Macaca mulatta: one gene and its partner. The protein of the gene in region 1 interacts with the protein of each later gene in a pairwise test. Links are inferred from orthologs where the notes say so. Each region holds a gene or a part of one and is shown on either strand. Other genes may lie near its edges.

Region 1 (3,819 bases):
AGGATCACCTGAGTCCAGGGAGGTCAAGGCTGCAGTGAGCCGAGATTGCGCCACTGCACTCCAGCCTGGGCAACAGAGTGAGACTCCTTCTCCAAAAAGAAAAGAAAAACTATTAACTTAATTGTATATGAAGTGAGCAATACCTAATCCTGTAGAAAAGTTAAAAGGAATTAACTAGATTTGTATATAGCATGGATGGGTCTCAAAAACATTATACTGAACAAAAAAAAAAGCAAGTTATAGAATAATACCTATAGTAAATTTTTTTGTAATGAAAAGCACACAATGTATTGTTTGTAGATACATGTGTATATAAAAGCATAAAGGATGCCACACTAAATCTCTTGAAAGAGTTTAGTTATATCTGTAATGTTTTACTTTTTAACTTTTTTTAAGAAGACCATGCATATGTGGTGTATATGTGGTATGTATATTTTAAATTATATATACAGGGAAAAGAACTAGATAAAATGCTGACAACTAATTCTGGATGGTGAAAATATGGATGTTTATTATCTGTATTTTTCTGTACTGTATTGTTCTGTACTTTTTAAACTTTGCACACAAAATCACATGGGAGAAAACAATTACAGATTTTCATATCTGTAAACAGAATCCAAATTAATGAATTTGTTGATTGTTGTCATTGTTCTTTTCTCTTGCAAACAAGCAGCCACCATTCTGATGTGTATGAATTAATAGAGAAAATACAGAAGAGAATCATAGAGGAAAAGACCTTAAAGTCACTTGTTCAGCAAAGGAAACTAAGATCCAGAGATTTTAACCAGCTCACCAGCAGTCACTTACCTAGTTATACAGCTAGAGTCCCCAAGTTCCTTACTTTGTATCAAATTATGGTTCCCTATCAAATTAGTTAATCATCTGAATAGAGGGGAAAGTACATAAAGTTTTATGGTTGCAAGCTTCCTGCCTCGCAACAGTATGAAAAAAGGATTCAATAATAGCGTCAATCTCCCCAGTCTGTTTCTGTGTCACTGGAGTGAGAGAGAACTTAAGACATCTGCAAAACTACATCTTTACAAATTTGACATATTTAAGTTTATCCATTGTAAAAGAGCAGAACTAGCAGAATTCTCACAAACAAACTTCTGTGCTGTACAGTGAAATTAAAGGAATTGATTTTTAAAAGCTAAACTCATATAGTTAAGTATTTTATGAGCAAATAGAGATGCAGTGCAGTTTACAATTATTTATAAACTTTTGGGAGGTATTGTCTTTCAAAGAGATCTGTGTAGGGAAAAAGCTCATAGTGTTCATGAGCCAAACTATTCTAAATGCTATTGCATCTTTTATTACATCATTTACACTTTTATCAAGACAGTCTCTTGACTTAACTTGGTGCTTTTTCATTCTTTCTCCAACCACTGCCTTCCTTTTAGAACAAAATGTGCATGTCTTCAATTGACAGCAAGGAATGCCAAAACTTCCCCCTTGTCAAGTGACAAAATAACCACTGGATATAAATATAAAAGACTACAGAGACAGATTCCTACTGGGTAAGGTACCTTGAAGATTTGTTGCAGGGTGTGTATATCTTTGAAGGTGGGTACCTTTTATTGTGGTCTAAAATCATATAGATGTTATATCTAGTTTAATTTGGTTCCAATACCAAAAATCTAAATTATTAAGGAATAAAAATCCTGTATATTGTTCATGGAAATGGTAGTCAGAGACCACACATACATCATGCGGAGTGTACTCGAACACTCATCTGCTTTGAGACTGGCTCTTACCCCTGTAGGATCAGCCTACTTTGGGCAGCCATTTCTCCATTTAAAAATACGCTGTTTAGAACTCATTTGAGAATTGGGAATTTTCAACCTTTCAAGGTACTGACTCACTTTATCTTCACAAAGCAGCTCTATAAGGGAGGTACTGTCATATAATCTCCATTTTAAAAATGCAAAGATAAAGCACAGAGAAGTTAAATAACTCATCCAAGATAATACAGCTAGTAAATGTGGAAGCTGTGATGGGAACCCAGGCACCCTATCTCTAAGAGCTTTCACATTTAGCCTGCTTCCCTCAGTAGTTGTCAGTGCCAGTGAAGTGGCAATAAACTGCTTTTTGCTTTATGAGGTGTCTGTTTTTCTCTTTTGCATATTTTGTTGACAGCATTTATGAATGCAGCCTGTTGTGCAAATGTAATCGACAGTTGTGTCAAAACCGTGTTGTCCAACATGGTCCTCAAGTGAGGCTACAGGTGTTCAAAACTGAGCAGAAGGGATGGGGTGTACGCTGCCTAGATGACATTGACAGAGGGACGTTTGTTTGCATTTATTCAGGTAAAGCAAAGGTTTATTTTAAAATTATTCTAGGGTAGGATCCTCTTTTCTGAATATCCATTTTCCTAGCCAGGGCCGTTGAGAGCTTACAACAAGGTAAAGAGTAACAGTATCTAAAAGGAACATCAGAGAAAGGCAGATGAACTGGGAACTTGAGCACTAAAAAGATGAGATGCTTAGGAGGTACTTTCTTCAAGAAAAGAAAGGTTCAGAGATGACACGGGTTTTTGTGTGAGGGCTTGTTATGTCCAAGGCACATTTGTTTTGTCCGCATGGCTACAGGTACTTTGGGGTAAGGGAAGAAAACTTTTTAAAAGTAAAAAAACTAGATGACTAGCTTGCCAAGGTAAAGATTACCAGTCAAAAACTTTCTTATTCAATGTTTTGAGCTATTATTAGAATTTAACAAGTTAATTATGTAATATCTGCATGTTATAATTCAGTCAGTGACTTTAGGCAACTCACTCTATTTTGGGGACTGCAGAGAGTTGTCCATGCCGCAGAGCAAAACTTCCTGAGCAGTGTGTTACAGTCATGCAATTACTGATTCTTTAGGGCCACAGCCCCCAGGACCAAACACATCAGTCTTCGGTAGTCTTACACATTTACCTCCAGCATGTCAGGCAAAACCCCTTATTTTCTGTGCACATCCTTATGTGAGAAAGTTTGGGAAACACGGCTTTAGAGCCAGTCTAAAGGAATTGTCCTTGACTTAGTTCTAGCAGCTAGGCAGCAGGGAACAGAACAACCAGGTTCTGAAAATTACTCATCTGAAAAAATCAGGTTTATCTGTTTACATGACCAAGTGCTTAAAAAAGAAAAGAAAAGAAATGTCAGGTTCACATCAGGGAGGGCAAGAAAAAGCTTGCAGAGTTATCTGAATTCAGAGTAGTCACACATATGGATCCCTGCCACTCCCCACTTACAGATCCACATTCTACACAGCCTGCCTAGACATTCATCTCTCATACTTCTCAAAATAACTGTTGGATGAAAGCTACCTGTAAAATGCCAAGCAGTGTCCAGGAAGTATCATTGGTTTTATCATTGTTGCTAGAAAATATACCTAAGATATGTCTCTGACCTAATGATGGGTAAGAATATCCTGCTATTAATTTGGACTTGGCAATTATAATATTGAATCCCTTGAAAGAAAATGCATAAACTTTAAGATTTTAGTGTTATGCAGAACTTAATATGACAACACTAGGAACATATCACCACATATTTAAACAGATACTTTTGTTAAAAATTGTAAGTTTCAGATGATAAAGCCTTTTTAACTAGACAAAAGCTACAATTTTATGACTAGAGGTCATCTCTAATTTTCTAGGGTATTTTCTGATCCATATCTTTGTTTTGGATCATTGTAGCTAAATCTCTTCTCTTTTGTATTTTACCAAAACAGACAGATGGTTTTTTTAGATACCCTGTTTTTTCATATACTAGAAGATAAGAAATATCACATTGGTCTTTGTCTTGCAACAGTTTTGTAGGATGAGTTAATGTGTTT
Region 2 (4,528 bases), on another chromosome or scaffold:
TGGCCCAAAGCACTTTCCACCTGTGGGTCTCCTTGCTGACACCTCATCTCTGGTCCTCATAAGTATACCATCAGCAGAGAAGGCTGTTGTGGCAGATAGAATATATGCACATTACTTAACCCATGATTCAGGTGATGGTGTCCTTCCACTTGCTTGCACCTTATCCTAACTGTGTCCACTTACCACAACTCTTCCACCTTTTCACTGGATACTGAAATTAAATAGGCTATATTATTTAATAATCTTAATTCAAGCTGTGAGCCTTCTGTTTCATTACCTTTAGGAGAGCTTGCCTCGTTTACTGGGAAGCCACCATTGCATCAAATTAGTTTCCCACATGACAGTTCCATGCAGGCATTAATCTGCTCCCAGAACACTCCTGCTTTAGCCCTATCATTTTATTCTGTTTATATCCATGTGTTTCTGTTATGACACTTTTCACACCACACTGTGATTAACTGTTTATTCCTCTCTCACTAGTTTGTGAGTTCCTTGGAAGCAGAAATACATTTTATTCTTTTTGTCTAATCATTACTTAACAAAGTGCCAACCACAAAGTAAACAGTAAAAGAATTATAGAATGCAACCTCCTGCAGACACAGTTGAAGAAATTACCCATTGTTTTTTTCCTTTCTGTCGTTCCCTAGTTCTAGGCATCAATCGCCTGCCTAGTCGGGGAGCAGTATGAAAGTGGTGGGAGGACTATAGACTCACTGCAGAAAACAGCTTACAGTAATGCAGTGAATTACTAGCAAGTTTGGACCTTGGTGGAGCTTGTCTTATTTGCCTGTTCACTGGGGGGTTTCAAACAATAGTTTTTGTTTCCCTGCTATCCCGAACTTAAAATAATTAAGCCAAGAATCTTTAAGAGATGTTCTGTTCTCCAAGATTCTAGATAATAAAACCTACTGTAAAAATTAATGAGCACCTATACTGTGACAGACAATAAAGATACAAGAAAAATGCCATTTCTGTTCTGAGAAAATTTACAAGGATTTTCCTGGAGCCTACATTTTACTCGAAGTAATAGCTATTCTTATAGCTTACAATAAAAGATGCATTTTGGAATATATTTCGCTTGAATGAAAGAAATAGAACGTGAGACCTTAAACAACGGGTCCATTCTTCAGATCCTTTTAACACACCCTCCTTCAGAGGTCGGGGTATTTGCGTGCAAAAGTTTACTATCACGCACAGGTGTGGAGATTTACAAATACAATCCAATTTAATGGGAACTGTGTCTTGTAAGAGATGGCCCCCAGGGACCTCCCATATCCCTAACCTCTCGGAGGACTGCAAAACACAGCTTCTGGAGCAACTCTTGCCTCGCCTTGAATCATTTGCCACTTCACTCCGCCCCGCCCCTTCCGTCCCCGGAGGCCGCCAGATTTGTGTCCGCTCTAGGCTTCTCCCGGACGTCTCTTTGTGGTGGCGTTGAGCTCCTCTAGCCCGCGCTTGCCGTCCTCTCAGTGGTAGCGCGGGGACTGGCTGGGAAGCGGGCGGTCGAGTGTGTCGTGTGTGGACGCGGATCCTGCCCGAAGCCGGGCGGAGGAGAGCTGAAGCTAAGGTGGAAGGGGAGCGGGGGAGGCCCTGGGGAGGAGCGGGAGAGTGCAGACGGGCCCCTGAGTGGCGAGGGAGCCCGGCGGCGTCACGGGGGAACCCGGAGAGAGGGGGAAGAGGAGGCCCGCACACGTGAGGGGGATTTCCGCAGTTGGCCGGGGCCTCTCACCCCCAGATCAACCCCTACCCCATAGTTCATCTGCGACGCAACGCCTTGGGCCAAAGCCCAGAACAGGTTCTGCCGCCTCTGACCTCTCCGAGGGTCGTCGCGTGTCCAGTAGGCCCAGGGCCTTCAAAGCTACGATTTTGACTTGAACTACTTAGAATTATATTGTGGCCTTGAACCCTGTAGACAGCCTGTATCTCTGCTATTTTTGTTTTTAATTTTTCAAATCAGAATCTTCTCAACCCTGGCCCTTTGAAGTCAAAGGCTAATGTTTATTTTTCCATCCCGGTACCTTGAACTTAGTAGGTGCCCATTGGACGGGTCTGGTGGTTTTAGTCATTTGTAAATAGCCGTGAACTAAGGACGAAATGTATGTGGCCTCTTACAGGGTTGGGGTGGGAATCATTGCAGGGTTTGGGGACACTCTGTTAGGCATGATGACAAAAGCTGTAGGCTTGAGTTTCTTCATCTGTAAATGAGAATGATAGTACTTTCCTCAGGGTGGCTATGAAGGTTCCTGAGATGATATTTGCCCTAAGCACTGTACCTGGCATGTCGTGACTACCACACTTGAACCAAATGTTTTCAATGATGTTATAGACTATATTTTTGTTTTAAATTAACTTTACCTTTCTTATTGTGCCTAGATCTTGAGGATTGAGACTCTCCTCTTGGCCTTTGGGCTCTTTGATTAATGCCAATTGTCATGTTATAGGTAATCAGTATTTGAAGATGACAGGCACAAAAAGTTCACAGTTGCAAGATGCGTAACTTTTGTAGGTGTCTGTGCCCTTAACTAAAGCTACTGATTTGGGGCGTAGGGGTAGATTAAACTATATTTTTGTTAAATAAGAGATAATCTGGGAAGATGCTTTATAAGTTGCAAGACCCTATGCCAAAAAAAAAAGCCTTTAATTTTTTTCATAAAACATTTCATGAAAGTTTGTTTTCTGTTTTTCGTAAAAGAGACATCAGTTACAAAACGAGGTACATTTTTTGTTTTGTTAAATTTCCTCTAAATCTTACTTTCCCACTAATAAGGAGACTGGTAACAAACTAAAAAACTATGTTAACATGAATTAACATATTGGAACGGGTATTTCTGCATCTCCTCCACAAATTTAGGAAGAAAAAGTGAGTTCCGTGATTAATCCTCAATTCCCTCTGCTGTTGTTTTGGTAGTGGCTGTTTTGCTGTTTTGGTAGTGTCTGTTCTGCTGTTTTGGTAGTGGCTGTTCTGCTGTTTTGGTAGTGGCTGTTCTGCTGTTTTGGTAGTGGCTGTTCTGCTGTTTTGGTAGTGGCTGTTCTGCTGTTTTGGTAGTGTCTGTTCTGCTGTTTTGGTAGTGTCTGTTCTGCTGTTTTGGTAGTGGTGGTGGGGTGTTCTGCATTAACACCTCGAAACCCCTGTGATAATGTCCTAGACCTTGCTTTATTAGGAAGTCTTGCAAGCATCATGGCCACGTATGATTTTTCTCAGCTTCCTCAACCTAGTCTACCTTCCTTACCGTTTTTTAATGGGTAGCAAGAGATAATGCTTAAGAACTCTTTAAAACTACTGATGTTTTAAAGTAAAGCTGGTTAATTCCCTGAGCCGGCAGCGTTCAAATTGTATGAAGAACAAATACTTTTGTTTACTACCTAAGGTAGTAGGAGAGGTCTAATCAATGTATTCTACATTTATTTCATTCTCTTTTGATTCTTAGGTAGTGCTACAAAAATATTAAATGTTAATCTTAGAATCACAAAACATGCTGTATTTAGGCACTAAAGTAAAATGATACCAATCCTAAGGCAGGAGAAAGTCTTAATTTTCTCCTATGCAGAATTTTTAAGACAATGTCAAATAAGAAATCTGGACTTAGGAGAGACTTTATTCAAAAGGGTTATTGCAAGAGGAGAAAAGGGACTTTTGCAATGGGTGGAACCAAAAGATCTGCAAGAGTCTCCAAGGAGTGAACCGTGCTGGAAAGTTTTGGTGTGAGGAAGTAGAATATAAGGGTGGCTTGATCTAATAGTAGATCTGAGAATGTTATTCCCTGGCTCTGGCTGAGAGTTGGCTGAAGTTCAGGAACCTGGGGGAAGGAGAGAAACTAAAGTTTAACAAATATTTTGTTCCACTTGATCTGGAGGGCCACGCAGCTGAGCAAATTATTCATAAATTCGTAATTGAAGCAAAAAATGGGAATTTGGAGGGTCTTTCTCTGGCCTGGTCATAGGTAAACAAGGGGGGATCCTTGAGTCTTACCTAACTCAAGGGTGGATTTTTTAAATTATAGCTAATAAAGAACCAGCGCAGGGCTCAAGCAAAATTCACCTTGTCAAAAAGTGGTTTTATTATTTGACATTGAAAAGTATTGAAAACCTGGATTTTATTTATACCGTGGTGAATCTTTCTAAGACTGGGGTGTTTGTTACTGGTTTGCTTGTTATCCTATAAGAAGCTGGATTTTTTTCTTCTTCCATGAGGAGTACTAGGTTTTATACTGACCAGAGTGATTGAATGGAGCAAATTAATATTTTCTTGCATTAAAAGATTATTAAAATAGGAACTGGTAAGATGCTACAACCAGTTTAAGTGACAGTTAAAAGTAGACATGTTTATAGAGCAGAAATATTGAAATAAATACACAAGTGAAGGCAAAATTGGCTGCTTCCACAGTGAGACAAATTCTATCACTGACCTTCACCAGATAGAATTTACAAGAATACAATTATTTTGCCTTGCTGTTGGTTATCTACAGTTGACAGTTGTAAAATAACTCCAAGATGCTGAAAGAATCAGACTTCCCATATAATCAGAATC

Evidence for each region.
Region 2: the proteins of SETDB2 (region 1) and ARL14EP interact in binary tests that used the Homo sapiens proteins (3 or more experiments, as listed by UniProt). The two-hybrid records come from large-scale screens. The link is inferred for Macaca mulatta from reciprocal best matches to the Homo sapiens genes SETDB2 and ARL14EP.

What each region holds. Positions count from the first base shown.
Region 1 is NC_133422.1:28,716,675-28,720,493, forward strand, and holds part of SETDB2 (histone-lysine N-methyltransferase SETDB2), read left to right. Parts: intron 1-1,400; coding exon 1,401-1,517; intron 1,518-2,136; coding exon 2,137-2,306; intron 2,307-3,819. UniProt on the Homo sapiens protein: Histone methyltransferase involved in left-right axis specification in early development and mitosis. Specifically trimethylates 'Lys-9' of histone H3 (H3K9me3).
Region 2 is NC_133419.1:34,922,325-34,926,852, reverse strand, and holds the start of ARL14EP (ARL14 effector protein), read left to right. Parts: upstream 1-1,515; 5' UTR 1,516-1,567; intron 1,568-4,528.